6 linked regions of the Rattus norvegicus genome follow. The protein of the gene in region 5 purifies or fractionates together with the protein of the main gene of each other region. This does not show direct contact. Links are inferred from orthologs where the notes say so. Each region holds a gene or a part of one and is shown on either strand. Other genes may lie near its edges.

Evidence for each region.
Region 1: the proteins of Rnf111 (region 5) and Ski purify together in Homo sapiens (affinity purification with western blotting, with the first as the bait; 3 studies listed by BioGRID). This does not show direct contact. The link is inferred for Rattus norvegicus from reciprocal best matches to the Homo sapiens genes RNF111 and SKI.
Region 2: the proteins of Rnf111 (region 5) and Smad7 purify together in Homo sapiens (affinity purification with western blotting; 3 studies listed by BioGRID). This does not show direct contact. The link is inferred for Rattus norvegicus from reciprocal best matches to the Homo sapiens genes RNF111 and SMAD7.
Region 3: the proteins of Rnf111 (region 5) and Smad2 purify together in Homo sapiens (affinity purification with western blotting, with the first as the bait; 3 studies listed by BioGRID). This does not show direct contact. The link is inferred for Rattus norvegicus from reciprocal best matches to the Homo sapiens genes RNF111 and SMAD2.
Region 4: the proteins of Rnf111 (region 5) and Smad3 purify together in Homo sapiens (affinity purification with western blotting; 5 studies listed by BioGRID). This does not show direct contact. The link is inferred for Rattus norvegicus from reciprocal best matches to the Homo sapiens genes RNF111 and SMAD3.
Region 6: the proteins of Rnf111 (region 5) and Skil purify together in Homo sapiens (affinity purification with western blotting; 3 studies listed by BioGRID). This does not show direct contact. The link is inferred for Rattus norvegicus from reciprocal best matches to the Homo sapiens genes RNF111 and SKIL.

Annotation. Positions count from the first base shown.
Region 1 is NC_086023.1:171,001,656-171,006,733, forward strand, and holds part of Ski (ski oncogene), read right to left. Parts: intron 2,073-5,078; exon of another isoform or gene 1,984-2,072; intron 1,051-1,983; coding exon 928-1,050; intron 793-927; coding exon 677-792; intron 227-676; coding exon 1-226. UniProt on the Homo sapiens protein: May play a role in terminal differentiation of skeletal muscle cells but not in the determination of cells to the myogenic lineage. Functions as a repressor of TGF-beta signaling.
Region 2 is NC_086036.1:71,286,979-71,290,974, reverse strand, and holds part of Smad7 (mothers against decapentaplegic homolog 7), read right to left. Parts: intron 1,264-3,996; coding exon 725-1,263; 3' UTR 1-724. UniProt on the Homo sapiens protein: Antagonist of signaling by TGF-beta (transforming growth factor) type 1 receptor superfamily members; has been shown to inhibit TGF-beta (Transforming growth factor) and activin signaling by associating with their receptors thus preventing SMAD2 access.
Region 3 is NC_086036.1:72,183,894-72,188,868, reverse strand, and holds the end of Smad2 (mothers against decapentaplegic homolog 2), read right to left. Parts: intron 2,738-4,975; coding exon 2,614-2,737; 3' UTR 1,629-2,613; downstream 1-1,628. UniProt on the Homo sapiens protein: Receptor-regulated SMAD (R-SMAD) that is an intracellular signal transducer and transcriptional modulator activated by TGF-beta (transforming growth factor) and activin type 1 receptor kinases.
Region 4 is NC_086026.1:73,037,207-73,042,284, forward strand, and holds part of Smad3 (mothers against decapentaplegic homolog 3), read right to left. Parts: intron 4,894-5,078; exon of another isoform or gene 4,543-4,893; intron 4,025-4,542; coding exon 3,950-4,024; intron 1,627-3,949; coding exon 1,576-1,626; intron 1-1,575. UniProt on the Homo sapiens protein: Receptor-regulated SMAD (R-SMAD) that is an intracellular signal transducer and transcriptional modulator activated by TGF-beta (transforming growth factor) and activin type 1 receptor kinases.
Region 5 is NC_086026.1:80,004,364-80,009,441, forward strand, and holds part of Rnf111 (E3 ubiquitin-protein ligase Arkadia), read right to left. Parts: intron 2,573-5,078; coding exon 2,256-2,572; intron 1-2,255. UniProt on the Homo sapiens protein: E3 ubiquitin-protein ligase. Required for mesoderm patterning during embryonic development. Acts as an enhancer of the transcriptional responses of the SMAD2/SMAD3 effectors, which are activated downstream of BMP.
Region 6 is NC_086020.1:114,199,998-114,205,715, forward strand, and holds the start of Skil (ski-like protein), read right to left. Parts: upstream 3,576-5,718; 5' UTR 3,528-3,575; intron 1,975-3,527; 5' UTR 1,301-1,974; coding exon 212-1,300; coding exon of another isoform or gene 208-211; intron 1-207. UniProt on the Homo sapiens protein: May have regulatory role in cell division or differentiation in response to extracellular signals.

The sequences.
Region 1 (5,078 bases), on a different chromosome or scaffold from region 5:
ATCCTTGTCCTCCTCTGCAGCAGCCACGGGTGTGAGCATGTCTGGGGCTCCTGGTGCGTCCATGGTCAGCTTTCGCTTTCGTGGCTGGATACACGTAGTAAGGGGTTCTGGTGCCCGGGAGACCACGGTGGTGCATGGTGGACTGTTCACAACCTTTTGCTGGGTTGGTGGTGCTAGGGCCACATTGGGGGCCACAGCTGTCTCAAAGCTCTTGTAGGAGTAGAAGCTAAAGGAAACAGATGCTTAGCCGGGGTATATCTGCCTCTCAAATCCCTACATGAGCTATAGAATGCACCCTGCTCAGTCAGCCAGGACACAGGACCTCTCCCCACTCTAACTCTCGAGGTCCAGATTCAAATGACCGAGAACCACAAATTTTCCTGCAGGTTGGGTTAGTATAGCACATAGCTAGACCTTCATGTTTTTAGAGGCACAATCTTCATGCAAGCCTCGCTGACTTGGAATCTGCTATAAACTCCAGACTGGCCTGAGACTCACAGAGATTCATTTGCCTCTGCCTCCTGAACGCCAGAAGCGAACTCTTAGTACTGTCTGTGAGCCCAGCATCTTCATTCAAGACTTCAAAACTCTAGGCAGTTTATCCTAGGACTAAGGGCACTGATGCCATGGAGGCCTCTTATACCAGAGCTCAGTTCTCCTGTCCATCCCTGCTCACCTGTCTCGAATCAGGGCTGGTAGGTGTGGGGACGTCTCCTTCTCACTTGCGGACACTGCAGGGGACCAGGGCCGGAAAGCAGAAAGGCGCTGGCGAGGGTGAGCACAGCCGAGGCTCTGTCAAGAAAACCCATGTAAATGACTACAGAACTACAAGCCACTTTATGTCCCTGAGGCCGAGTAGAGCCAGAGTTGGCTTAAGAAGGGCCTTACTCCCTCCCCAAAGACCCCAGACAGGTTCCCACATAGCACCTTATTGGAGGAACCAGCCAAGGTCCGCAGCCAAGTGGACTGCTTGTCCTTCTCAGAAGACGCAGGGGACTGTGAGGAAGTGTCGTCTGTTTTGGGTCTTATGGAAGCTGGGGGCTCTGAGACCTGTGATCAACACAAAAGGCCCTGTTGGGATCCCTGGGCCCAGGCAGGGTCTGGTCTCCCTACCAGCCCCATAGTAGCAAGCTCTCCACTGGACCATTGTAATTCCACAGCTAGGAAGGAGCCTCAGAGCCACAAACACAGAGCACCTTGGCCTTGTGCAGAAAGGTAAGCCTGATGTGTCTGCTAAGGGACGAGGGCGTCCCATGAGACAGAGAAATACTGTGCTGCTGTGGGCTGCTCTGAGGTGACCTCATCACAGCTGCAGCGGGTGCTGTGTGGATCGCCAAGACCCATTCCGGCTTCCACAGCACTCTTAGGTTCTTTGCCTTCAGTCCCACTCTGTGGCCACATCAGGAATGGGCTAAATGACCCAGCACTGACTCCAGGCTCAAGTGTGACCCAACAAGCAGCCTGTAAGGAACCCAAGAGGGCTGCCCTCTGGGCATCCTTTATCACTGCTTCATTGGAGAGCATTACGGTTACCACAGCTACCCCCTCCCCAGAGGAAGGAAATATTCAACTTGAAGGACCATGACATACCTCACAAAATAGCTTAACCAGGTGTCACCACACTGCCTTTGCTGTCAGCTTACAGAAGCCAGCCAGTACCCTAACTTATCTTGGGCACCAGCTGTGGTCTAGTTTGACATCCAGCATTAAGTGGTGCACACCTGAGCCAGTCTGTATGTGAAATCCAATGACCCTCCACCTAAGTGTCACATTACACACACACACACACACACACACACACACACACACACACACACACACCGGCGTTCCACCTGCAGAACAATCACAGCATGGGCCTCTCCCAGAGCAGATAAGACTAGAGGAGCTAAGCTGCTGTCCCCCAGGTAGGGCCTAAGGAGATGACACAGACCCCAAGGCAGGCATACAGGGTTTACACCTCGGTCCCACGCACAGCCTCGTTACCTTGGGTGTAATGGGAAGGATGCAGCTAAAGTGAGACTTCCAGCCAGAGCCCTCCGGCCTACAGAAGAACAGGGCTTTTATCACAACACCTGCAAAGAGGAAGAAGGCAGCCAAGGTGCCAGCTTGATAGGTTTCTTACTAGGAAACCTGGAGAGGGCGATCAGCCCCCCTGGCGGCATGCATGTGCCTGGGACGACACTGGTGTTCCCAGACACATACAAATAACTGTTCAAGAAGAAAAGACACCGAAACCACTTTCTAGAGGGAATAACTCTTAGTGTCAAGCTGTCACTTAGCAGAGGATCTGTCAGCGGAGGCCGTGTGTACTCCCTGAAGGAGTAGATACCCAGGATGCTGGCTGGGGTAGAAGAACCCACTTCCGGAACTGCAAGGATCCCTCTCACAATGGAGGCAGAAGGGGGGTGTTGCACACCAGGGTGGGGCTTCCTGTCTGAGCAGACACTGGAACAGGTGCAAAAAGTGAGTTTCTATTCTCTCACAGAGAAAGCCACAAGTCTAGTCTGGGACACCGCTCAGGCAGCCTCAAAACTGTGACCCAGCAGAAAATGCTGGGGAATAGGACCACTGGGTGAGGCTGCTTCCTGTTCAGAAGGGCCACAGACGGGGGGAGTGGTAGACTACCATACTGGGGTCAAAGTCTCCTAAGGTAACCCAGCTGCTTCACACATCGGATGGGGAAGCCCCTGGAGCTAGTGGAGGAGTCTTAGGGTAGCTGGGACAGCTCTCCTGAGATTTTCATACAAAGTCCAAAGGCAACCAGAACTCTTACAGAACAAGGAAGTGTTAAAACTAGACGGTGCCAGGAATCCCTTTAATACCAAACTAGCTGTACACATAAGGGGGAAGCTGAAGGGCATTTGTTAAGCAACAGGACCCTGAAGAAGGGTCACTTGACAGGGGTCCTGCTTGACAGGGGTGCAGTGAAAAAGCTTTGTCAGACCTGGGATACCACCATCTATAGCATGGATACTAGGGGTCCTAGGAGTCAGTCAATGGTTAGGACCAGTCAGTTACCTCTGGATCCTGTCCTTTCTTGGGGCCTCAAAACCATCCCAGTGTCTATAAGCCAGGAGGGGAGCTCTGGGCCCATATGCTAAAGCCAGGAGCTAAACAGGTTGACAAGAGACAGCCCTGCTGCCAAAAGTCCAATACCAAGGGCTATTATCAGGCTGTATCAGGGGAGGAGCCAGCTGAGCTGGCCACAGCAATGCCCTGTGGCTACTTCCTCTCTGGAGCTTCAGACAGTGGTGCTTGTTTCCTCCACATCCCAAGGGCAAAGACGCAGAGAACAGGTGTCACTGAGTGTGACCTTTGCACCTGTGCAGGAAGGGCTGGGCCAGGCAGGGCTGTGGATATGTAGATCCCAAAGCAGATGAGGAGCCAGCTATATACGCCCACCCCCACTCCCACCCCCACCCCCCATCGCTGAGTCTGTGTACTCTTGACCTACAGGGAACTTAAGAATTCCTCACCTCCACCTCCAAACCTCAGAAAGAGCACTTGAGACACTCATGCTGCCCAAGGGCAGAAACAGGGCAGGACGACATGGGCCTACGGGTTACAGTGGAGGCTGGCATTCAGGTGAGCTGTGGCCAATATGGCTGCTGTGTCTAACACTCTCCTCTAGCCTCAGATGGTACAGAGAACTGCCAGGCAGAGCCTCAGGGGTTTGTGGCCAGCAGGAACCATACAGCACAAGTAGAGGGCTTGAACCGGACAGACAGTGCACCCTGAAGATGCCTATGCCCAAGAAGCAAAGACGGTAGGTCTGGAGAAACCTCACGAGGCAACTTGCCAGAGGCAGTGGTCCCCTTGGCTAATACTGTGGAGGCAGTGGAGTGGGTTGGGGGTTCTAAAAGAGGCCTGCACATTGCTAAGATCATGGTAACCAGATACCCACAAAGAAGCTGAGAACCACTGGGGGTCCCTACAGAGCATCTGCTCACCTCACACGCTATAGAATCTTGATAGCCTCCACTCATTTCCAGTCCTGAGAGAAGCAGCTCACTGCCATTCTTCACCCCAAGATAACCCCTCTTTAGTCAGAGCCAGGGTGAAGGGCACACATGCACTTTTAACACCAGCACTAGGAAAGCAGAGGCAGGCAGATCTGGGAGTCCAAGGCCAGCCTGGTCTACACAGCAAGTTCCTCGACAGCCAGAACTACCTAATAAAGAGACCCTGTCCCCAAAACAAAACTAACAAGAGTCTGCCCCAGAAACTGTCCCCAAGGTGCCTGCGCTCCCATCCTTCCAGCCACATCCAGTTTCTTGTCCTTGATTTTGTGTGTGTGGGGTTGGGGGAGGGGGGTCATCTCAAATGCTGGCTGATGACTCAGGGTCAGGGTCACATCAGATTGCAATCATAACACGGAGCCTAACTTCCTATAGTGCTTTGGTCACTGCCCCAGACGCTGCCAACCATCTTTAAGCGACCACCAAACAGCCATGGGAGAACACAGCAATTCTGCTCTATGTCCCTGGCTATGCAGACAGTACCCATATCACAGGACAGACCCAGGCAGGCTTCCTAGAGACAGAGGCAGGAGAGGCCAACAGAAGGAACAAGTGTCAGGAAATGAGACTGGCCTGATTCCAGCCAGGCTCTCAGCCTATCTAGTGCCAGGGTTTCTTGTCACTTAGGCCCTTAAACACACAAATACAACAGGATGGATTATGAGGGAACACCCAAACTCAACAGCTGCCAACAGCAGTAAAGCAGGCTAGGCCCTGCTCTCTGTGCCACGCAAAGGGCCACAGCCATCTGGAAGACATCTACGGCGTCTCGGTGCCTCGCTCCTGAGCATCCCCTGTGAAATCTGTGCCAGCCCTGAGCCCTGAGCACTAAACAGCAGTGATGGGAAGGGACTTGGAATTTGGCTTGTGACAGGAACAGTCTCTCCAGGTGTGAGCCAGCTCTGATGTGGGGACATCATGGAATGACACCTGTTTAGAAGCTCCCAGAAATGCTGACTCTATATCCCTTGAGACTAGAGAGATGGCTCAGTGGGTAAAAGCTCTGGCTGTTCTACCAGAGGACTTGGATTCAGTTCCCAGCACCTGCAAGGTGACTCA
Region 2 (3,996 bases), on a different chromosome or scaffold from region 5:
TCTAGCAGGCTGGCTTCTCAGAAGCCTGTGGATAGGCCCGTGTCCTGTGGGGAAGGGGGCGGGGGCGGGGGAGCTTCAGCGGAGCAGAGCTCGGCACCTGCTGGGACACCTGCTGCCAGTCTGCCCAGGTACAGCCTCTGCCCCACCGAGCATGTCCGAAAGGCTCATGAGAGAGACACACAGTGAGAGACACACAGCTTGGAACTGCAAGCCTCTCAGCTGGGGACATCCATAAAGAACACAAAAAAAGCACGCCATTCCCCCATCTGTCATTCACGTACACCCCCCTCACACACACACACTGACAACTGAAATGCTGATCCAAAGGGGAAGGTGGTACCCACTTTCGCACACCACGCTTGGCAGTGCTGACTCTTGCTTCCCGTTTTTGTATCGGGGTGTCCTGCCAACCGCACCCACCACCACCTCAAAACACAAACAACAACAACAAACAAACAAACAAACAAACAAAAACACAACCAAAAATCCGCATCATATTTTCTCAAAGAACGAGACACACAGGACACAAGAGTGACAAGAAAGGAGGAAAAAGAAGAAGGAAGAAAAAAAAAAAGGAAAACAAAACAAAACAGAACCAACAATGAATGGCAAACAACAAAACCGACCGAAAGAGTTTTGCATGAAAGATTAGCAGCAAGTAGTTTGAACGGTGGCCTGCTCGGCTCACCCCTCCGTCCTGTCCTCTTCTCCCCACACCGGGAGACTACCGGCTGTTGAAGATGACCTCCAGCCAGCACGGGCAACTGCTGATGAACTGGCGGGTGTAGCACTGGCCCCAGCCCTTCACGAAGCTAATCTGCACGGTGAAGCCCGTCCATGGCTGCTGCATGAACTCGTGGTCATTGGGCCGCTGCAGGCTGTAGGCCTTTTCATAGTCAAAAGCCTTGATGGAGAAACCAGGGAACACTTTGTGCACCAACAGCGTCCTGGAGTCCGGGTTGTCCAGTGTGGCGGACTTGATGAAGATGGGGTAACTGCTGCGGTTGTAAACCCACACGCCATCCACTTCCCTTGTCAGCTGGATGCCACAGCCGATCTTGCTCCTCACTTTCTGTACCAGCTGACTCTTGTTGTCCGAATTGAGCTGTCCGAGGCAAAAGCCATTCCCCTGAGGTAGATCATAGAAGATATCCAGGGAGGGCTCTTGGACACAGTAGAGCCTCCCCACTCGAGTCTTCTCCTCCCAGTATGCCACCACGCACCAGTGTGACCGATCCCCAGGCTCCAGAAGAAGTTGGGAATCTACAAGACAAAATGTCAGACGCGGTGAGTGGTGACAGAGACCAGGGTTCTTTTCTCCTTCTAGAATCAAAGGGCACACATGTACGCATTTGAACTCAATGCTTATTTAGTCTCCATAAGCTGTCTAAAAACATAAACAGGGGGTGGGGGGAGGTAAGCCTGGGCTAGCTGTAGGGTCTGTAGTGCTAATGGGGGGAAGAGCCTTAAACCACCTTTAAAATACAGGGCTTACTGCTGTCATCCTCCCTCTCCTCTTTATCTGAGCCCACAGCATCAGCACCTGCTGGTCCCCGAGAAGCACAGACCTTGGGACCACTGACAAAGGCCTCAGAAATGGCCTAGATTAAGAGTTGCTTCCCATGGATGGAACCTGGAGGGCAGCTTCTCTACTCCCTGCTCCCCTAAGACTTGGATAATAGATGCTGGCCTACTGGGTGCTGACCCAATCAGACTGTGAAGCCAGGTGGCCTACACAGCCTCTGTACTAGCTTGTCATCCGATTCTCACATGCCTTGTTCACCAGGGAACGTCAGCTGGTACAAATAAAGATGAGGGTGACTCTGAGGTCTGAAGGTGTTATTTTTTTTTAAAGTCATCTTCCTGACACAAACCAACTCTATCTGTAGGACAGCAGCAGCCTGTAGGCTTTGAAAAGGTTATTAGTTCAAGGCCAAATGCCAAATTACAACATGCAGGTGGACATCAGCCTAGACCACAGCCAGCCCAGACAGACGATGCCATGTCTAAATTAAACGTGACCATCATTGATGTACTCCCTCTGCCGGTCTGTCTCCCTGACGTGCTCCCTTCTCCTCCAGTTTGACCCTGCACAGCCCACACTGCCCTTTGTGGCATTTCACCCACCTACCCGTCCCCTCAAGCCCCCCCACCAAGCCCACAAAAGCCTGGAGGCCTGGCTTTCCTAAACAAGAGTTCTGTGAACTTTAGGGAGGGGGTATGTGGAAGAAAGTAAAGTCCCTCCCCCTGCATGGGCAGCCTACTACCTCCCTTCACTCTAGCCAAGAGAAAACCGGCCCCAGACTGAGGCCTATAAATCTCCCCGGCCCGCCAGGCTGCAGGAACGCTGTGGTTTGTGGCGGCAGGGTGGAGAGCGGAAGTCTTGTATTTGCTAACAAAAATGGGGGAAGGCAAGAGGGGGAAGGAGTTGGGGGGGAGGGGAGAACATCAAGGCAGATTCAGAAGCCTCCTGCCTCTCTCTCACCCCTGTAAGTTTGGAGGGCCCTGAAGATGGAGTTGCATGGGGGATGTGTGTCCTCGAGGCCTTTGTCGTTTCTGGGCTCAGAACATGATGAGGGCTGTCCCCGTCCACGGGCAGGACCAAGAAAACTCAGCCTTGTTGGTGACCCAGGGCAGCCTGGTACATCAATCCATTCCAACTTTTATAGGCATGTTAGGACCTGGGAACCAGTCAGCTCGCTGCTTGCTTTCTTATTTTATTTCTTCAAAGCAGCAGTGGGTGCGGAGTCCCACGTGTGAGTGAGTCTGAACACTTGTACAACCCACAAAGGTAGCCACCTACACCCAAATCCTGAGTGGCTGTCCCCTACCTCAGACACCCCCTCTAACTGGCCTCCCCAATCCACGCCCAGTTACGCACAAAGGGGATGCCAAGACAGGGTGGTGGATTCCTTTTCTGAATCCCCAGGCCACTGGGGGAAAAAAAAATCGACATCGAAAACCTGCGCTGTCCCCTGCCCCCACCGCCATGGACCTACACCACCCAGTATACAAACCGCATGTGTGTCTGAGTGTGTGTTTATGGTGGAGTGTCTGTGCCCGCACACTCTAGAAAGGACGAGAAACAAGAGAGGGACGAGGGCTCCGAGCAGAAGGTGAGTCATCAGGCATTAACTTGTTCCTGCAGAGTATCCATCAACTGCTAATAAAGTGAGCACAGGCAATCTCTGAACTTTCTTGCAGAGGGAGCTCAGCTCGAAGGCCGCACCAACATCCCCTCACGTTAGTCCAACGAAGTAAGACACTTCGGGACACAAGAGTGTTTCCCCAAAGTGTCCCAAACTTGGGTCAAGAAACCGGGCCGTGGGGGAAAGGAAGACTCGGGGAGCGGCTGAAGGGAGGGAAGGAGGTTGGGGAGACTCTCAAGAGGGGCCTCACAAGGCTTTGTTTCTTGTGGCCCAGCCCCACTGAAACCTGGCACCACACAGCAAGGGTAGGGGGAAGGAAGAAGAGGGAGGAGGAGCCTGGGATCAAGTTGCTCCCCATGCCAGGCCTCCTGAGCAAGGGGTGAGGGTCCTGTCTGCCAGGCAAGCCTCTGGGGCAGCGCAGACTGGGCAAGGCTGGATGGCCTGAGGTCTGTGGGGAGAGAGGGAGTGATGCAGGGAAGCTTGCCTGGGTTTCTCTTTCATCTACACAGACGGTCTTACCCAGCAATTTGCCGCCAGACATCCCCAGGAAAAAGCCCTTTTCTGTTGAGGTTAATGGCCCAGCCCAGATAAATGGTAGTGTGTGGGTGTCCCCTCAACGCACTACAGGGAGACCCCTGCTTGCTCCTCCCTGTCTCCAGCCGCACACAGGGCAGCTCTACACCTCCCCCTTGCTCTTGCCCAGACTACTTCTGAGCACACACACACTCTCCTCTCCAGCAAGCCCTCAGTGAACACATCCCAAAGCAGAAATCACACCTTCTGAGAACCCAGAGCAGTACCAAGCCATGGCGGCTCCCGCAGGTCCCCCTTGGCCTGAATGACTGCT
Region 3 (4,975 bases), on a different chromosome or scaffold from region 5:
TGGGGCTCAACTCAATAGTGTGCAAAACTGAAGTGTGCACAAACCAACCAGGAGGAGGCCCAGGAGTCATCTGGAACGAAAAACCAGTCCTGCTGAAAAGGTAAAATCAACAAAAACTAGGCCATGGTAGACAGAGGGTAGTGCACACCCACAGCATTTTGGTGAAAAGCAAAGGTGACCACTGAATTCTTTTCACATGAGTTTACACTGTGACAGTCCGAGCTCAGAGACAGTGTTTCCCAAGGAAAACACTTCATACTGTACAGAAAACCTGTTGGCATCTCTTTAACATGTCTGATAACCTCCTACCACTTTCAGAGCTGTGCTCTGCCCCCAGACCTGTCCCGACAGCTCGTTTTGCAGTCTGTCAAAGGTTCCAGTGAGGGGCACTTTCCGTATAATGACGGCCTCCAGCAGGCTCTGCAGCAATAATGCCCATGATACGTGTCCTACCTATCATGAGACAGACAGACACCAGGAGGGACACGGTGATAATCATGTGCACCAACAAGTCCAGAAGCTTGAAGCATTGGCCTCCAGACTGGTGAGCATTTACATAAAGGGAGTTGTTAAATTAGCACTGACTTGGTGTGAGAAAGTTGCACAACAAAGGAAGAGATGACAGGGAGATGACAGAAGCAGCCTATCACAAGGCAGTCCCACCTTCAACAGATTCTACACAGAACCACCACTGTCATCCTCACGTGTGGGTATGTGCAGTTATGATACCTGACGGTGCGTCTCAGAGCCTGAGCCTCTGGGTTAGATGCTGTCCCAGCAGAGTTAAACTGACCTTGACTCTTCATAGCACTTTCTCCTTCTATCAGGTGTTAGCTTAAGCACCGCTCGCTCAGATGCCTTCCCATTGTCCTATCAATAGCATCCTCCCTGCCATGCTCTAAACATACCCTGTTTACCCCTATGCAGACACTGCAGTATGTGTGAGAGCAGTGCTATCTTAGCAAGGCAGAACTACAGCTCTCTTGTTCACCTTCACCCAAAGGTTAAGGGAGTTCATGGCACATTAACAGGTGAACAATAAATATTTGAATAAAAAATTACTCTACCAAATTTACAACACAGAACATACAGACACAAATATAGGAAAATGAGAAATATCAAGTAGAAAACCAAATGTTGAAAAGCATCAAAAATGATTACTGTACATACATGAGAGTATGGTCACAGAGAGTAAGTACCAAAGTTATTTGTCTGCAAAAACATGAAAGTTTACAAAGAGGAGATTGGGAAGTATTTTCCATTTGTACGGAGTTGCAAACAAAGGAATCAGCACTGGACGTGACTGCTGTGTGCTGCAGAGCAAAGGGCCAACAGGACAGCTGGGATCACCTTTTTGCAGAGCAGAAAGGTCAGTAAACCACACACCCAGGATTAGTCAAGAAGAGTGAAGTCCACTGCTAACTGCGGGCTAGAAATCTTGCTGAACGGCTTAGCTCACAATATTTAAAATTTTGAAACTAGGCAATATAACATTCTATTTATTATAAATTACAGACGATACACTTTAGGAACAGATGGCCCTATCTGCTGATGACACTTCAGCATCAGCTAACAAAGGTCTCTTCTGTGACAACCTGTAGTAAAGTGAGATGACGCCAAAAGCTGACTGCCTTTACAGAAAGATACTTTATTATCAGACTGGCGTTGGAAGAAGGAAACATACTGAGATGATTCTAGAATAGCCCTGAAAATAATTATACTGTCACCTGTGCACGTTTGAGACAAAAGTTAATCAATGGAACAACTGGTTATCATCTGCTGAAGTCTGGTTAGAAGACAAAAGGACTTACTGCTCACACAATCCTTTACTGGACTCAGAAGTAACTAACCCAGAAGCCATCAGTGCAACTATTTACCACAATGACATCATGCTGCACTGCTTTGAATCAGAACAGAAATGGCACAAAGAGCCTGGAAGTTTCCAACAAGGTTTCCTTCTAATGCAATTCAGCAGAAAATGATCACAGAAAGAATGCTAAGACCCACTGGACACATTAAGGTCAAGGACTTCCAAGTTAATCCACTTTTCTTCCCCCACGAGTTTATTTTTGGTAAAAGGCAGAAAAATTAGTTTCTACAAGGAAAATCTGCTTCTAAATGATAATTTGAAAATCTCGATATATATATTATATATTAAAAAAGACACAAAAATAACGGAGAAGTGGGAATAACAGATTAGGTACTGTAATTTTATAAAGGCTTGCCTAGACCAAGCAGCAGCACACACCTCATTTATGCACACTAAGAAGGTATACAAACAGCAGAGCACTGCAATACTGGGTCTGGACACATTACTGTACACAACTACTACTGGTATTAATAACCTTTGGGACACTGTCTTATGCCCAACGAGACATCATTAAGTCTTTAAGTCTTCTTTGTCCCCTCTGGGGAGGGCATTTCTAGACACTAATTTCCCATCTAAAATTCAAATGTAGGAAACAGACTCCACAAGGTGCTTTAACTGATGAGACCTCAAGTGCTGTTTTCGCTCTGGGTTTTGACTAGCACAGTCCACGGGATCACACACGAGTACTGTGGCGGAGGAGTTGGTACGTTAAGTCTTCCAATGAGCTCCACTGCTGACGGACTTTAGGACATGCTTGAGCATCGCACTGACGGGGATCCCATCTGAGTTAATACTTTGTCCAACCACTGCAGGGGGCCATTCAGATGAAGTTCAATCCAGCAAGGAGTACTTGTTACTGTCTGCCTCCTGTTTGAAAGAACACAAAAAGTTAGAAAATTAAAAGGCTATATATAATAAAATATTTTTTTAGAATAATTATTAGTTTTATATATAGTTATTAATTTTAAAATGGTTAATTTTTACTGCTAAAATGAACTAATGAGTTTTTCCTTTTTCAAGAATTTTCTTTTTTTTTTTTTTTTTTTTTTTGGTTCTTTTTTTTCGGAGCTGGGGACCGAACCCAGGGCCTTGCGCTTCCTAGGTAAGCGCTCTACCACTGAGCTAAATCCCCAGCCCCTAAGAATTTTATTTCTTTATGTGTGGTACATATGTATGTTTCTAGGTGCACGCAGAGGCCAGAAGGGAGTCGGATGTTTTCCTCAACTTCACTTTGTTTCCTTGAGTCAGGGTCACTCACTGAACCCGAAGCTCCCTATTCTGGCTAGACTGCCTGGCCAGCAAGCTCCCAGAGTCCATCTGTCCCCCAGCCTCAGGTCCTCAGTCCCAGCCACCCCATCCCACCCCATGCAGATGTTAGACACAGCTGTGTCCGGGTCTTGTGGATGCTGGAGCTTCATACTCAAGTCCTTGTAGTGGCCAACTTTTGAGATTTACCAACCAAGCTATCTCCCCAGAAGTCCACCTTTTTGAAAGATTTACAAACTATCCTTTCTCCTGAAGTTAAATGAGTCTACTGACACTGCTATTTACCTGCCACCTCAAATGGGACGCCTGTGAGAGGAAGGTACTTAATAATGAGGCCGGGACGAGAGACAAAAACCAGGAAAGATTGCCCCAAGGAAAATGACACATATGACCCCCTACTTTTATGTTATCAATGAAACCTACACCAGAACAAGGTTCAATTTTAAAGTCTGCTGACCCAATCTAAATCCTTACCACACAATGTTAAGATTTGAAGCTAAAGTTTCTCTAAGACTCACAACAAGCAACATCCTTGTCAGTAACACCCCTCAGGCTTCTACTTTAAAAAGTGAAATTAAAACCATCTAGGCTTTAACAAAGGGGGCACTGCCTACTCCCTGAATCTTATTTGCTACAAAGAGTTATCAATACATTTACTTTTGCTTCTTCAACATGACATTCTTCAATCATGGTCGAAGAACATTATCAGGTCTCCATCTTTAAACAATCCATGCCTGACAGCATTGAGGACTGGACAGCCATAGGGCTGAAGGCTCAGCAGGAGAGTATGCGATGCTCTGTTAGACCCAGGTTAGTGACCGGGACCCACATCTGGCAACTATAAACACCTGCAACTCCAGCTCCAGACAGCTACAACCCTTTCTGGATTTCACAGGCAATGCCATTCACACACGCACAGACACACACGCACAGACACACACGCACAGACACACACGCACAGACACACACGCACAGACACACACGCACAGACACACAGACACAGACACAGACACACACACACACACACACACACGATGATACACACATAATTAAAAGCACTGCAGGAGGGGTTGGGGATTTGGCTCAGTGGTAGAGCTCTTGCCTAGCAAGCGCAAGGCCCTGGGTTCGGTCCCCAGCTCCGATAAAAAGAAAAGAAAAAAAAAATAAGAAAAAAAAAAAAAAAGCACTGCAGGGGAGCTTAGTGTCCAAGCATGTATGTAGTGCTTTTTATCCCGTGGTATCAACTCAAGTAACCCCTGGGTCTTCGGGATGCTCTAGGCAACTTCCAAGCACAGGCACCTGCATGAGGGTTTCTGCCATGCTTGCATGTGTAGCAGGCTGGAGATCCCGTACACTCAGCAGACTGGGGTAAGGAGAAGCGAGACCACAGGTGAGGGGGACTACAACCAGCTGTTGTCAACTGACCTGCTGACCTAACTTTTATCCTACTTCTAATCAAACTCTGCTGCCAGACTGCCAGATTCCACACTGCCCTTTGCTCTCCTGAAACCCTACATGCATCTCCTAGAACCGGACCTAGGTTGCTCCACTCAGGAAGCTTCCCTTGAGTACAAAGTAGACACCTCTGGTTCTATAAAATGCATGTTTGCATACAGTTCAGTCTTCTCTCCTATAATACAGTCATTTCAAGTTTCTTATCTATGGGCCTCCAACTTTCACTAAGTGTCAGCCTCATGTAATTCACTCACGACCATGAACTCCCGGACCTGGCTTCTGTGTTGTGTATACCACAACACCTGGCTTCTGTGTTTCCAAAGATTAAAGCGCGCACCTCCACATGACACACAAGCGTCCCACCGACTTACACGCTTAGCTGTC
Region 4 (5,078 bases), about 7.0 Mb from region 5:
GAAAGTTAGCATGCTTCTGCCCATGGCTATGAAGAACCACCTTGGGGTAATCTGAAGAGATCCCAGGAAATACTCACCTGTGCCCACCCTGCTCTTTGCTCATCCTCCCAGCCCTTCTCCCCAAGTCTAAGTCAGAGAATTCTGGCCCAAGGCCACTGCCACCTTCAGACTGGCCTGTGACCTTGATGACTTCACAGATAAGTACCTGCCACAGGGGTACTGGCCTGACCATGGTGGGATGAAATGCTCCAAAAATAAATCTAAAGCAATCCTAAAGGGGAAGCCCAGAGTCAAGCTCACAATTGGCCTTTAATGGCTTATAGTCTCAGGTTGTTTTCAATAACGCAGTCCCTTCACTATCAGGGATATGACCTTCCCTCAGCCAAGCCCGGCGGTATTATGCTACAAAGATTTAAACTGTATCTCTAAGTCCTGTTTTGTTCCACCCACACATCGGCATATTTCAAAGGCTCTTTACCCATCTCCCAATATTCTAGATGACGAGTTCTATCTGATATCTGCCAAGGTCTTGAAACAAGTGGGCACCACAGCCTGTCCAACGTACTCCACTCTGAAGGGTTCTACCATGATCAGCTGCTTTTCCTGAGCCGAAAAGCAAGTGCTAGCCTAACGCCACACTCCCAACCCCATGAACCCAAACTTAGTTTGTTTTGTTTTGTTTTTTCCAAACTACAAACCAGAAAATCAAAAGCTACCTTTGATAAAAACATGGATGTCACATCTGTTTTGAGCCCTTCTGCCGTTTCTAGCCCCAAGGACTTCTGCAAAGCCTCCCTCTCCCACACAGGAGGGATGCTAGCAGGCTGGCAGGGTGACCCTCAGAACACTGACCTGCAGTCCAACAGCTGAACATTGTTGTGGGAACAGTGGGGTCAGCTGATATAAACACTGGGAGATAACACAGTGCTAATCAAGACATTCGAATGGAGAGACACATTTTCAGAGAAACAGAGGCAGAGACTGGGAGAGGCAGACAAGCCCTGGTTTCAGCAGCATGGAGCACATGTGTACACTGCCCTCACCAGTACCAGACAGACCACGATAAAACAGTTGTGCTAGGCAGTGCGATCGTGGGCACATTGCTTTCTCCCCAAATTCCTTATATGTTGCTGTTTTAATAACAAGTTATTATGAGACGATATAACTCAGCTGAAATACCAATGTGTGTCTGAAACAAGCTTCTGGGAGCTGGGGGCCGAGTCTGGGCAGCTGCCTGTGGCTTTGCCCCAAGCCACACACGTGTGTTTGGCTGACCGAGGCCCCTGTCTCCTGGGCCTGAAGTCTGGGAGATTTTTGTTCACTCACGTCTGACCGCTTCCCAGGGGAAATACGAACCTCAGCATAGACTGTCTTTCCTACAGGCCACTGTTCTCGGGTTTCTCTGTTCTGAGGTGACCCAAGGATCACTGTAACCAGAAACCCCTCGGGTTGGGCTGTGCTGATGGTGAAGGAGGGGGCAGGGCTCACCTTAACTGTCCCTTCCCACTGAGGCAATCAGTTGAGTTACAGCCAGGAGTGTGGCAGCCTTCACCTTAAAGATGGATAGTTACTCACCCAAGTTATTGTGTGCTGGGGACATCGGATTCGGGGAGAGGTTTGGAGAGCCTGCAAGGTGAGACACAGTTGTAAGACATTGTTGGAGTACTCCACTACCAAGACAGGATCACTCGCCATGCTACAAGGAGACCCTAGACCAAGCCTGGAGTCTCAGGAGCCTGGGCCTAACCTCATGAGCCCCCCAACTACACATCTAGCCATGATGCCCTATCTGTGGAATAGACAGATTGAAGGTAATTTTAAAGGCCCCTCAAACACATTCCACCTTAGCACCTAAGCAAGGCTCCAGTGCAGGCCTTGGTGGGCCCAACTAGGCCAGCTCACACACCTGCCCTCAGGGAAGACTGACTATTCCTGAGGAAATGCAAAGACAAGGAGCCCCTATGTGTGCTGTGGAGGGTAGCCTCCATCCTCACAGATCTGCCTCAGAAATGCTGCAACTCAGCAGCTTATTTGATCCTTCGTACACGGCAGGAGAGGGCATGTGACGTCTAATAATTCATGCTCTGATTTTCTCTCAATCCCTAGCTACCAAGAAAACGTGTGTGTGTGTGTGTGTGGGTGTGAGTGTGTGGGTGTGGGAGGGGGGAGGGAGGGAGAAAGAGAGAGAGAGATCAGGTCTGCCTTTCTGTAGGCCCGTGTGCAGCTCATAGTTAGTTATTTATGAATGTCTTGTGGCCCCACCCCACCCCCTGACATCCACCAGACCTTGAGGCTGAGCCCTGAAGCTGCCTTGAGCTGTCCCTGGGGCTCTTTTATTTCACCCCAACAGAGTTCTGAGCTCTGAGAGGGCCAAGAATGGGTCACAGGCTTCCTTTTCTCCCGTGGTGGCACCTGCCCCAGTGGAGATAAAGAACAATTTCAGAGGCCAAGTGGGGCTTGGCCAGCTTGCTGCAAATACGTATCACCCGTGTGGTTTGGGCCAAAGTATGTTAACATTACTGCGCCTTCATTTCCCCCTCATATAAAGTAGAGACATTATCATCTACTGACCTGTATAAAGTAAATAGAAGGTTACATTAAAAACAAACAAACAATTGCCAGGCTTGGCATATAGGAAGCATTCAATAGTTGTTTCCTATTTCTATGGTAGTTCAAATCATGAAGGTCTAAGGTTAGTCGAAAGGACACATGTGCTCTCAGGGGAGACTTGAGGGTGACCTGGGTGACCCTCTAACCAGAGACACTTCCACATCTCACCTGGTAGGAAAGCCAAGTCCATGAGCAACTGGACTCGGAGCCAAATGGGTTACTTGGAAGAAAAAGAACAAAGAAAGACCTCCACCCATCCATGCCTAGGTTGGCTGAGTACACAAATCCTAGCTCCCACAGAGCCTTGCAGGGACAGAGAGGTGTAGGAGAGGGGACAGCATAATGAGACAAAAGAAAGCAGAGGGAGCAAGCAGATTGGAGCCAGGGAAAGCATGCATGGCTGGCCCTCCCCCCACACAGGCCATTCTGATGACGTTTGTTTATTACAGTCATTGTACACATACAGAGGGGGAGAGAGCGGGCTGTGAGAAGCTCTGCAGCTGGAGGGAGGCTGCCTAGCTGGCTCACTTCCCATGCCAGCACTCTGTAGCTGCAAGTTTTCAGCAGTCACTTGGCACAGAGCACAGGAAGGTCTTCCGTGCATTCCAGCTGGGTCTGTGCTGCCAGCCACATGCCTGGATGGGTGTGTGTTGGGGGGTGTGCTTGACCTAAAAGTGTAACACCCCAGTGACTAGCACACATGTGATCCCTTTTCACCCTTTTGAGGATTGTGCAACCTCTTGCAGTCCGAGAGTGAGGCAGTCCCCCCATCGTGGGAATGGAACAGCTGCTGGGCCCCTTTCTCTCTCCTTGCCCACTACACAATGCAGAACAGGTCCCGTGTGGCAGCTGGGGCTCTGTTCAAGAAGCTGCTGGTTTGGAACCAATTTGGTCACATAACATATGACATGGGAAACATCTGGGAGCATAGCAGGATAGAACTAGCTCAGTCCCTCCCAGCAGGGACACACTGATCACATTGGCCACTACATAGAGAGAGACAGAGACAGACAGACAGACACACACATCAGTAGATAGATATTTCTTTTTAAAGAAGTCACTACTGGTGTCTTTGCTGGCCACCAGAAAAGGCTATTCCTCCATCCATGTTTTCCTCCCTGCCCTCCTGCACTGCTTCAAGCGTTCGAGCCCATCTCCCACCTTCTGCCAGCACCACACCCAGGTGACCTAACTACACTGTCAGTAAAACTACTTTGTGTCCTCACTGCAGAGGGATATATGAGGCACACAGGGATGCTACTCTACAGACACTAGGGAGGGAGAAAGCAGCAAGGCAGAAGGGAGGGACAAGGCTGCAGGCACTGCCCACACTACTGACCTGCGTCCATGCTGTGGTTCATCTGGTGGTCGCTAGTTTCTCCATCTTCACTCAGGTAGCCAGGAGGTGGGGTTTCTGGGGGACGAAAAGGCAGGCAGTTCTATTAAAATGAATGCAAGACTGGCTCTGGCAGTCCATTTGGGAGCCAATATATCATGCAGGGCACCTAGAAGAAAGCAGGGCCTCACAGGAAAAGTGTCAGCTCCTGGACTCAGCCATGCTCAGGCCTGTCCACCTCTGCCCTCTGCCTCCTAACCTGAATCCTAACACACTGACTCCCAACTCTGAAGTCCCTTGCTCTAGGGCCACAACTTAGCTGACTTGTTCCTATCCCTCAAGGTCAGGTTAAGAAGGGAGGCTTTAGAGCCTCCTTCACCATCTCTGTCCCCTGAGGAGCTGTGGCCTTGAGCCTGTCCCTGTACAGATTGGACACTCCGGTCACTGCTGTCTTAGGGGGATGTGGCTTAACTCTCCAGTGAGAGTGCCATTCAGTGGTGGCTCCCTCAGAGATCTGTTTCTCAGAATTCTGCCTTGCCCTCCCACCCTGCCTTAGCCCTCCATGGTTTGCCCCTGACAGGGAGTGGACAACTTACCCCCCGGAGGCCAGCGCTACCTGCAAGGATCTGAGAAGCCAGACAGCTGGCCTCTGCTTGCATGTGCTCTGACCCAAGACACGGCCACAGCCAACCTCAGTCCAGTAAACCAACCCAGAGTGAAAGCCACATCCAAATTAGAACACTCTAAAAGGAACACAGCTGGATCATTGCCCCGAAAGCAAAAGTTGCCCTGACTGGTCCTAGCGTGGCCAAGCACAGCTTCCCTGGATGCCCAGAGTGCTTGGCAGTGATTCACACATTATTTGCATGTAAATGAGGGGCTTCTAGAAACACTGGCACTCTGACAATGGAGCACATTCTATTTACTGCCTCAACTCCCTCTCTGCCCAGCCCAAAGCTCAAGGTATGTACAGAGCCCCCCTGCTGCTTCGCCTCACCCTCTGCCACCCCTACCCTTTAGGGACCCTGCTGGTGTGCCAGCCTTATGGGCTGGGAGGGCCAGGAGAGAGACAGTGTTGCTATTTCCGCTTTCAAAATAAATGACGGCACTGAGGCCCTGCAGAAGGGTCACA
Region 5 (5,078 bases):
AATGTCTACTAGTTAGGTTCAGTACAGTTGTGCTTTCAAAATGGATCTGGCCAGGTGTGGTTGATATACCTGTCACTCTAGCCCTCAGGTAAAAGAAGCAAGGTGAGCCTAGCCTACATAGTGAAGATCTTATCCCTGACCAGTGTCAAACATGGATAGAAAGATGGTTCTGAATGAGGATACAAGTTTGATTCCTCCAGAATCTACACGAAAAGCTAAGTGCACACCTGTAATCTCTGCACTGGGGAGGCAGAGAGGACAGTTCTTAGAGTTCATCCCTATCAACAACACCAGTCTGCTGTCCATGAGACAACTTTGGGATAAGCTATCCCTTCCTTTAAAACAGTGGTTCTCAACCTTCCTAATGCTGTAACACTTTAAATACAGTCCCATATATTATGGTGATACCCAATCATTAATCTACTTTCGCTGCTACTTCTTAACTGTAAGTTTGCTGTTAAGAATTGTGATGTAGGGGTTGGGGATTTACTAGCTCAGTGGTAGCAAGGGCAAGGCCCTGGGTTCCGTCCCCAGCTCCGAAAAAAAGAAAAGGAAAAAAAAAAAAAAGAATTGTAATGGAAATACCTGTGTTTTCCACTGGTCTCAGGTGACCCTGTTAAAAAAAGGGTTGTCCAACCCCCAGAAAGAGTCATGACCCACAGGTTTAGAACCACTGTTTTAAGGTAACTGGAACTGGTAAAGACAGTCACCTACTGACTCTGAGCAAAAGGAAGCATTGTTTCTGTAATTCAATCTCACCTGCACCTTTATCTTTTATTTTCTGAGTCAAGGTCTCATTACATATTCCTAGCTATCTTGGAACTCTATAGAATAGGCTTGCCTAGAACTCACAGAGATCCACCTGCTTCTGCTTCGAGTACTAGGGTTAGCTACCTTTCTGTCTGACTTCTGTTTGTCCCCACCTCCCTCCTTTTTCTTTTCTTTTTTAAAAATTTTTTTAAGACTTATTTATTCCCCAGCTTCCAAAAAAAAAAGATTTATTTATTACATATGAGTACATATTTAATATTTATTATATCTGGTGTCCACCAGAAGAGGACATCAGATTCCATTGCAGATGGTTGTGAGCCACTAAGTGGTTGCTAGGATTTGAATTCAGACCTCCCTCCTTTTTCAAGGCAGGATTTTTCCAGTGTAGCCCTGGCTGTCCTTGAACTCAGAGCATTCTGTATCTCAGAGTACTGAAGTTATCTCTTAGCCAACTGTATTCTTATCAACTACAACAAGAGAACACTATGTGATAAACTCCTTTGTTGGGAGCTCTCTCAAGAATGGGGAAGCTGGTGGGGCTACCCTGCCATGGCCTACAACTCTAGTTAACTTCCTCTCCTTTCAACTCCCATTGCTGGTAAAAGGAGGCTTTCCTTTATGGCAGAGCCTTCAACATACCTCCTTCCCCAGAAGTACAAAAGCTTCAGATAACCATTTAATATCCTGAACTGTTAACACAAAGAAGCAAAACAACATCTGAAATCCTGCTCATTATTAAACTAACTCTTTTCAAATTCCTACTGGAGAAGACCTCTCCATTATTGTCCCAAAAGAGACAGCCAGCAAAATTTAAAGGCAAAACTTGGTGCTTCAGGAAAGGTCAAGAGACACAGAAAGGCAGCCTTTCTCAAGGTATCTTGGCTCTGTTCAGCCACATGACAACTAAAAGTTATATTAACTTCCCTGAAATAGTATCTTTTGGGTTTGTTTTTGTTTCTAATTGCACTGAAAGAGAGAGAGAGAGAGAGAGAGAGAGAGAGAGAGAGAGAGAGAGAGAGAGAGAGAGAGTGTCAGTGCTCATGCATATGTAAGTCAAAGAACAATTTGTAGGAATTGGCTCTCTCTTCTCACTATGTGGGTTCCAGGGACTGAACTCAGGTCAGGCCTGGCAGTAAGTGCTCTTACTCACCATGCCATATCCATGACCCGACAAGTGAATTTTACGATAGCTATCATGTCTACTTTTCCCCTTAACTGTTTGTAATAATTTTAACTTTCTGTATACCAAGACTCAATTTAAAAATTCACAGCTCATTAAATTAGTTCATTTTTGCATTCAAGAATATGGCTTAGTTTATAAACAAATTCATTTTGGCAACACATACACTAAAATATATCACTGGGATTTTCTACTTCTTTATGAACACAACCCAAGTTTAAAAGAAAAAAAAAAAAAAAAGGAAGAGAAAGGAAGGAAAGGGGTACAGGGAGAAGGGAGGAAGTGACTTGTAAAACCCACACACCTGGTCGTGGTAGCTGGAACCAGAGCTGCTATTTGCTCCACAAGGCGCCTGTACTTGAGGTCTTTCCACAGGACAAGCAGGGTCACTGAAGGAAGGAGAAACTGGGACAGCTGGGTGGGGAGTATGGTGGTGGTGGTGGTGATGCTGAAAATGGTGGCCATGCTGCTGAAAACAACTTGAGTGTGGATGTGCTAATGCATGGTGACTCTGTGATGTCCCTCCGCATGGTGAGTGCTGGGGGCAGCATGAAGGTAGCCTTGGCATTGCAGGAGGACCACTTTCTGGGACAGCATTTGATGCAGTTCTCCTCACGTCATCTTGAAACAGAAACAAATGGAAAAAATGATCAAATACCAGTGTATAAAAATAAGTACTGTGTATAATCTGAAAATAATCTGATGTAGAGAAGAGAGTGGGCTGGTGAGACTGATCAGCATAGTAAGGGGCTTGCTGTTGAGTCAAAACACCTAAGTTAGATTCCTGGGACTTACATGACAGAAGAAAAGAAATCACTATCACCTCAAGTTGTCTTCTGAAGTGCACATGTGTGTGCATACATGTATATACACACACACACATACATACACACACAAAATCTAATTTTTAAAATAAAAAAATAATATGATGGTAATATGCTTAACACACAGTATGCAATGTTGTGTAGTGTTTCCACTATGATTCTTCTGAGAATATAAATTCTTCAGGGAGTTCATATGTATCAAATCTGACAAAGAGATTATCTTTTCTTAGTATTTCTTAGCAATAAAGTTTCAAAAGTATCATGTGAATTCTTCCGCTCTGTTCTACAAAGAAAAGATCTTCTAAGTCCCTTTAACCAGTAACACAAATCACTTTCCGTACTGTAGTCTGCTGGGTATATTCAACTAAACTGGAAGCCGCAGTATCCACCTTATGACTATCTGGCTGGATCACTATCTCCCAATCTTTTCATTTCCTCTGCTGCCCAAACTCAGATAAAACTAATTTTGGTAACAAAATGTGACTCCAAGGAATCGAATTAATTGTTACTGTACACTGCACATAAAATGGAGGGGTCAGTAGAACAGGGGTCCAATCAGGAGGCTGAACACTTTTGCTTTTTACTTGCACAATTCAAGTATATGCACAAGCTAGAAAAGTGAGCTGTTTAGAGTATATGTTTGAGGGCGACTCCAGAATAGTCCAGGGACCATGTCCAAGGACAGTTAAACTTTATACAAGGACAGGACAACACTGTAAAGTCACAGAATGAGAGTTATCAGCTTCCCAGTGGCAGGTGAAAACAACTTCAATTATGATACAGAAGGGCCAAGGAAAGGCCCGGGAAGATGACAGGCATAATGCATGCTTTGTCACTCTGAATAAGTCAGAAGCAAATTAAAGAACAGGGATCAAACAGTGGTTGGAAGCACTTGCCACAGAGTCTGAAGACCTGGGTTTAATCCCTGAACACCAAGTTGCCCTGTAACTTCCACACTCACTGTGGTGTGAATACGCACACACGCACAGATAGATAACTTCACAGATAGATAACTTCGATAAAAAGAATGTAGAATGGAAACCCGTAGCACGCACAGAGACTGCAGGAGACCCTGTACATGCACTAGGAAACGGAACTGGTGAAGACAATAAAGACAAAGAAAACACAAGGTTAAGAATGGAGATGGGGGGGCTGGGGATTTAGCTCAGTGGTAGAGCGTTTGCCTAGGAAGTGCAAGGCCCTGGGTTCGGTCCCCAGCTCCGAAAAAAAGAACCAAAAAAAAAAAAAAAAAAAAGAATGGAGATGGGGGGTTGGGGATTTAGCTCAGTGGTAGAGCGCTTGCCTAGCAAGTACAAGGCCCTGGGTTTGGTCCCCAGCTCCGGGGGAAAAAAAAAAAAAAAAAAGAATGGAGATAGAACACAGACTCAGGGATTCTAAATAGACAGTTGGGGATCAGGCATTTAGGAAGAACAGCAAGCTAAACACACAAAGGCTTTTATGAAGCTAATATCAGGTCCTCTATTATAGAAGCACATGCCCGAGAATTTATTCTTTAACTTCCTTCCCATGAAAGATGAAAGCCTTGAGAAAAAGAACAGAATTTTGAAATTCATGGTGGCGGGGTGGGGGGCGGGGGGGGGGGGTGAGAGGGGAAGAGCTAACACAACATGAAGGGCAAATCACTACGAAGAGCCTACCATAAAGTACTCAGCACTTATGGAGGCAGCGGCTTGCACATTTGGTCATTAACTGCGTCATTTAGTTATTTGGATATCAGGTAGTTAGCTGGCTTAAATGATTCAAAGTAGAAAACCTGTATGGATCAGGGAACAAGTGATAAAGCTGAAAGCTGAACGGACAATTCCATATGATCTTGAATGTGAAGAGGAAACACAATCCAACTGCTTTAATTCAGTACAACTACATATGCCACTTTATCAAGTTTCTGTATAACAATTTGGCTTGGGACAATCATCTGTCTCAAAAATTGTATAGTGTAATATCAAGAACAAACTGTCAGGAACTACAGTGAATTTAACACCTAAGAAATGAAACAGAAGTTACTAAAAATAAGTAGTCATGTATAATACATAAATGAAAGCTGTAAGGTAATTATGAAATGTAGGTAGGAAGAACAGTATTAATGCTATCAAGAGAAAAGTGAATGGAGAGTTGAAATCCTTACCACAAAGATACTATGAACCCCAAATTAAGTATTTAGCTTTTAAATTTTCATCTTATATAAAATGGGAAATATAATGCAAATACCAAGGCATTTTTAAGTATTAAATGACAACATGAAATCACATAAAAGGGGTTAGAGCAATAGCTCAGGGGTTAAG
Region 6 (5,718 bases), on a different chromosome or scaffold from region 5:
TACCTGTAAAATGGGAATGACCCTACTTCTCTCAGGGGAAAACCTATACGGAAACCACTGTGGCTAAGACAGACAAACAGGAGGCTGATGGGTTTTTGTTGTTACATGGACAGGCTGAAGCATTAGCTTCATAATTCAAAGCTGTAGACACAGAATTAGGATACCATTACTATTTGAAATTACTAGTCAAAAAAAAAAAAAAGGAACTTGCCTTTGATTGGATTCTCTTTCCATTTCTCATGCTAAACTTCTCCTTCATTTCCTCTAAAATTATCTTCAGTTTCTTTTCTTCGGGTGTCCCTAGGTATTTTTGGTTCACATGAAGGTAACAGTGCCACTTGGCTGACTCAAAGCCCCAATGGCAAGTTCTCTTGTCAGGGGATCTGTGTGAATGCATGACGAATGTCTGAGGAGCAAACATTCCACAGCACTCCAGACACTGGATACAGGGAGCATCGGGCTGAACATAAAACTGAGGTGCAAAGAGACCCTGACATTTGCCCAAGCACTCATGTTCCACTTCAAAGGCACTGCCAGTCTCCTTCAGCTGGGCCCAAGAGCTTTTAGCAGGAAGTATGCTACCATTTTGAGGAAAAGTTCGTGGCCTCAGTAAAGCATTACAGAGTCTCTGTGCGTCAGTCAACGTGATCAGCCCACAGGAGGGGGCATTGAATGGAAGTATACCTAAGACCTTTAAGATATGAAGCTGGTCTGAAGTACACCTTGAACAATAGATGTAGAGCTCATCGCATACTGTGTTTATTTGCTGGAGTGAAAATTCTCGGAGAACAGAATTTAAGACTTGGGGCAAACACAGTCTCTTTTCTCCTCCGACTTGAAAACAAGAAATAGACTCCCCTTCCAAAACAGTCTGAGTGAGCTCTGTGGAGCTATCAGAAGGAATAAGAAGAGGACCAGGAAGAACCTGAGGAGACGGAAGAGGCAGGAACACAGTCGGTGACATGCTTTCTTGGGAATATCGAGCAGAAAAAGCTGCTGGTCCACCCAAAGAGCTCTGACTACTTAAATGGAATTGTGCCAGTGTGTGTTTCAGACTGGGGTTTAAATTTAAAGTTTCAGGTAGAGAAGGACAGTTGCGCTTGGCGTGCTCGCCATCTGGTTCCACTGACGCATCTCCGTAGTCGTCCAAATGCTCCTTCTTCACCTGGGTCAGCGTTTTCCCATTGGCATGAATGTCTGTCATCATTTTTTTCACGGGAGGACTGCCATCATCCTCCATCCCGCTCAGCTTTTTATTTGAACCCTGAACTAAGGAGAAATTAGACTGCAGGTTTTCCATGGCCACACCGGTGTTTTTAAATAATTAAGTCTTCAATTGGCATGTTGTTCTCAGTTCCTAATTTGAAGAGAAAAAGGCAACGTATACAAATACTTGTGACTCACTTAGAAATGTTTAGTTTCCAAAGATGAATTTTCTTGCTCAATAGATTGTACAACTCTGTTTCGGTTCAGCCGTTTCTCAGGATGTAACTGAAAATACTACAAAACTTCTCAATTCGCTTCTAATAACAAAGGGTATAATTGTCAGCACACCCCTGAGAAAAGTCTTGTTTTCTTGAGCACTTCAGCTATTTATGTTAAAATAAAGCTAATTCCTCAGTTCAAGAAGTCCAAAGTTTGGTATAGTGGTTGAGTTTGGTTGGTTTTGTTCTTTAAGCAAAGCATGTGGAAAGTTTATGCCATGACTGTATCCTGAAACTACACCCAAACACGAGTTACAATGATGCAATGGTTTTAGTTTTTGCCAAGAACACCAAAAAAGAAGAGGCAGGTATCCTCACTGAAAATGGTGGTCTGTGGCTCTGTGCTGACAAACTGAAGACTTGTCTAAATCTCCACACAGCAGGAGCCTGGCTCCACCTGAACTTTTATAATTAGCAATATACATACACTAAGTAAAAAAGCTGCCCAGTTTATCTTCAGGGATTACAGTTCATTCTTCTTTTAATTGATCTGGAAGAGAAAGGGGTGGGGAGAGTTACATTTGAATTAGCTCCAGAGGCCAAAGGGTCTGTTTAAAACCAGTTTCTTAATCTTAAACTCAGTTCACTTTGCCAAAGGTAACACTTGGGTGGTTTCTTCCAACCTAACACCAGTTATCTAAAAGAAACTTCATCTAAATAGGAAGCAGTCCAGACCGTGGGTAACAGGAGCATTAAATAATATCTCTCCAAACAAGGAAGAGTACACAAATTTAGAATACGGATAACCAAAACGCAGTAGCAGAGGCTTTCTCAACTATGCATGCCATTTAAATTTTAAAAAGTAATCCTTTCTCTTCAGAAAAAAGAACCCTGTAGTTTCTGCTCTCCCCCCACCCCGCAAAAGATACATGTTAATATACCTACCATATGTAATTAAGTCTCAAGCAGATTAATTCATCTAGTCAATATATACTATCTTTTTAAATTGAAGAAGAAGAAAAACTTTCCCTTTAAAAGGTTAGCGAATTTGCTTAATGGAAGCCAAAAGCTGTAAGACTCCATGCCTGGAAATCTCCATCCTTTAGCAAGACTAATCCGGGACAAAAAGCACAAGGCAGACAGACCTCACAAAGAATGCAAATGGAGGCAGAGTGGCGAAAAAGAGTATTCATCCACTTCCCTCCCTGGAGAAAACCCAATAAAAGCCGATAAATAAAAACCTTTGCTTCTAAACTCCCAGCAATTTATGTTAACACAAACCCAGAGAATTACGGACGAAAGCCACCTAGCCACCGTACTGTGACTTTCGCCACTACAGGGACACCTCAGCCAAGGCGAGCCAAGGAAAAGGGCAGGAGGCATGACCTAGACCAGGGGCGCCCCCGCAGCCCTGCGCACACGCAGAGACACCCACTCATCATCAACCCGAAGGACCGGGAAGCAGAGGACTCCCGACGTCTGGTGAGGTGAGAGGGGGCAGAGGAAGTAGGAGTCCTCCCAACCCCCACCTCTGTGACCGGGATCACCCTAAGTGCCCTCCCCACATCGCCCCACTGCGGGGGCCGCCGGTGGAAATCCCCCACGCACTCGGTCCGCGGGAAGTTCTCTGGGGTTACCTCTGCGCCCCAGGGCTGCGCCTCCCCACCACTGACCCACCCTGAGCCGTAACACCCAGAGGGGCGCAGGCAGGTTGGGCGCCAAGCCCGGAAGCCTGCGTCGCTGGACGCTCAGAGATGGGGCCAGCCCGAGGCATCCCCGCCGAGCGCAGACGGCCGGGGGATGGCGGCGATGACCGGTGTCCAGGTCTCCCGGGTCCCGGCGGCTCGGGTCAAGTGCACCGCCATCCCCTCCCAGCCGACCCGTCCTAGAATCTGCGAGGCCTGTACACCCGTGGGACCCCCGCCGCGCGCCCTGTGCCCTCGACCCCGCCCGGGACCCCACGCATCCCGGACGCCCCACTCAGGCCCTCGGCGCCCGGACAGCCCCACGGGCTCTGTGGCCTCCCCATAACCCCCCCGCCGCCGCCTCAGCGCCCCCAGAGGCCGCACGCCCCTCACGTCCCCTCGCGACCTGCGGCCGCACCTGTGCCCGCCGTCGCCGTCGCCGTCGCTCGCCCGCCGCCTTCGCTGTGCCGGCGCCGCTCCGAACCCCACACACATCGCTACACACAGCCTCTGACGTCACCCGGCCCGCGGCCCGCCCACGTCACTGCGGAGACACGGCTTCCCGCAGACGCCGCCGCCGTCTCCGGCCGCCCGGGGGACAGCGAGGGCGGCGGGCGGGGGAGGGGAGGGAACTAAGCCAGCGGCGCCGCGCGGCCCCGCGCCAGCCAGTCCCTCGAGCGCGCGCGCCGTCTGCCCTATTGTGGCTCCTCGCGGTCTGCGCGCTTCAGGCTGCGCGCGCCTCTCCGGCCCTGGCCGGGGCGCGCGCCTGGTGCCTCCGCCGCGCACGCGCGTGCGCCGGTCTCCCGCTCCCCCGCCCCCTCCCGCGCGTGCCCCGCGCTGCTGGCTGGCCCGGCGCGCCGTCTGGGCGGCTGGCGCACGGCACTGTCTGCGGTGCCCGGCGCAGACAGGATGTTCCCTCGGCCCCACCCCCGCCGCCCTCCTTCCTTCCTCGAGTCGCCCAGCCGGCTGTCTGGGGCCGCCCCCGCCACGCCCGCCGCCGTGTGGTGACGGGCCAGACCTGGGGGCGCCCTGGCCGCTGGGCCGCCGCGCGGCAAGGCGGGGGTGAGAAGGCGGAGAGGGGGTAGGGCGCGGCGGGCTGCACTGTGCGCGACCCCGGCAGCTGGCCGCGCCCGAGGTCAGACTCGGCCAACAGCCCCCCACCCCCGCGGCCGCAGCTGGCCGCCTGGCCCCGCCCCGGAGGTAGCCTGCGGGTGGCTCCCCGCCGCGACCCCCGGGCTGAGCCCGCCGCGCAGACGCCCCCGCGCTGCCACCCTCCCCGTTCAGCGCTGCCACCTGCCCCCGTGCTCCCCCCGCGCTCCCTCCCCCAGCTCTCCCCCCCCCCGCCGGCGCGCAGACGTCGCGGGGCCTCTCGCCCCCGTGGGGCCTCCCGCCGCGGCCGCCCTGCCAGCTGCTGGCGATCAGCCCCGCCTGGCCGCGCTGGGGTGGCCTCACCCGGTCGCCTCCCGGGCCGCCATCGCCCGGGAGGCGGAGGTTTCAGCACCGCCGGGGCAGACCTTGCTGCCCCAGCTGCTCTCGTCCTCCATAAAGTGACCGGTTCTAATTCACTAAGCACTTTGGTTGGGGTTTTCGGGCTTTTCCTTTTTTTTTTTTTTTTTTCTTTTTTCTTTTTCTTTTTTTTTTTCCAGAGACGGTAAGAGGTGGGGGAAGATAACCACTTTCGGCTGCCACCTCGAACCGCCGGCGGGGGTGGATGAGGGGACTTCCTAGCCAACGTACCCAGGATAGCTCGAATATTCAACTCTGTGAAGCTAGCCCGTCATATTTCGAAACACCAAGAAATCCCCTTTTCTCCACCCCACCGCAGGATCAGGAACTGAAATAGCGCAGCGAGTAGCACTGCGCAGACTTAGGGAACTCAAGCTTCGGCGACGGCGGTGCTCCCCGCCCCCACTCCACCCCTCCTTTTTATTTTCTTTTTTTTTTTCTCGCCCAGTTTATTTTACCGCTTCGGGGTTACTCATGTTTGGGTCCACATTTGCAGCTATCCAATTGGGAGTACTTTTGTGCTTGAAGAATTTTCGTCCTTTTTCACCCCACAATAGGTCTAACAAATGTCACCTCTCATCACCGCCCCCGCCCCAGCTCCTGTCGGCCCCCATCTCCGTGCTCCCAGGTCATGCCCCTCTCCCACCTCCTACTCGCCCGTTTCTTGACTGCCTGTGTGAACATGAATAATTCCACAGCACTTCCCATCTGTTATTGCCATAGAGACAGAAGCTCAGCAAAGATAATGATGTTCTGTGCAGAGCCAGTGTGGGGAGAGCAGCATCTGCGAGTCTCGGGGAATAGATGTTCTAACCGCCAGGATATTCAGAAGGCTGGCTGGAAAACTGAGGCGCAAAGCCAGGACAGTCCTGAGACTGAGCGCCTGGTCACCTCGCACCTGGCTCTGGATCTAACCAGAAGAAACAAACTTAGAAACCAAGATAACTGAGGGTGTGTGTGTGTGTGTGTGTGTGTGTGTGTGTGTGTGTCTTAAGCAAGTCTGAGACTGCAATTAATGGTAAGTATTTAGTAGTCCTCTTACCAGCCATGAAAGTAATTACTTGCTAGCATGGCCAAGGCCTGAGAAACAGAATTAATTAGAC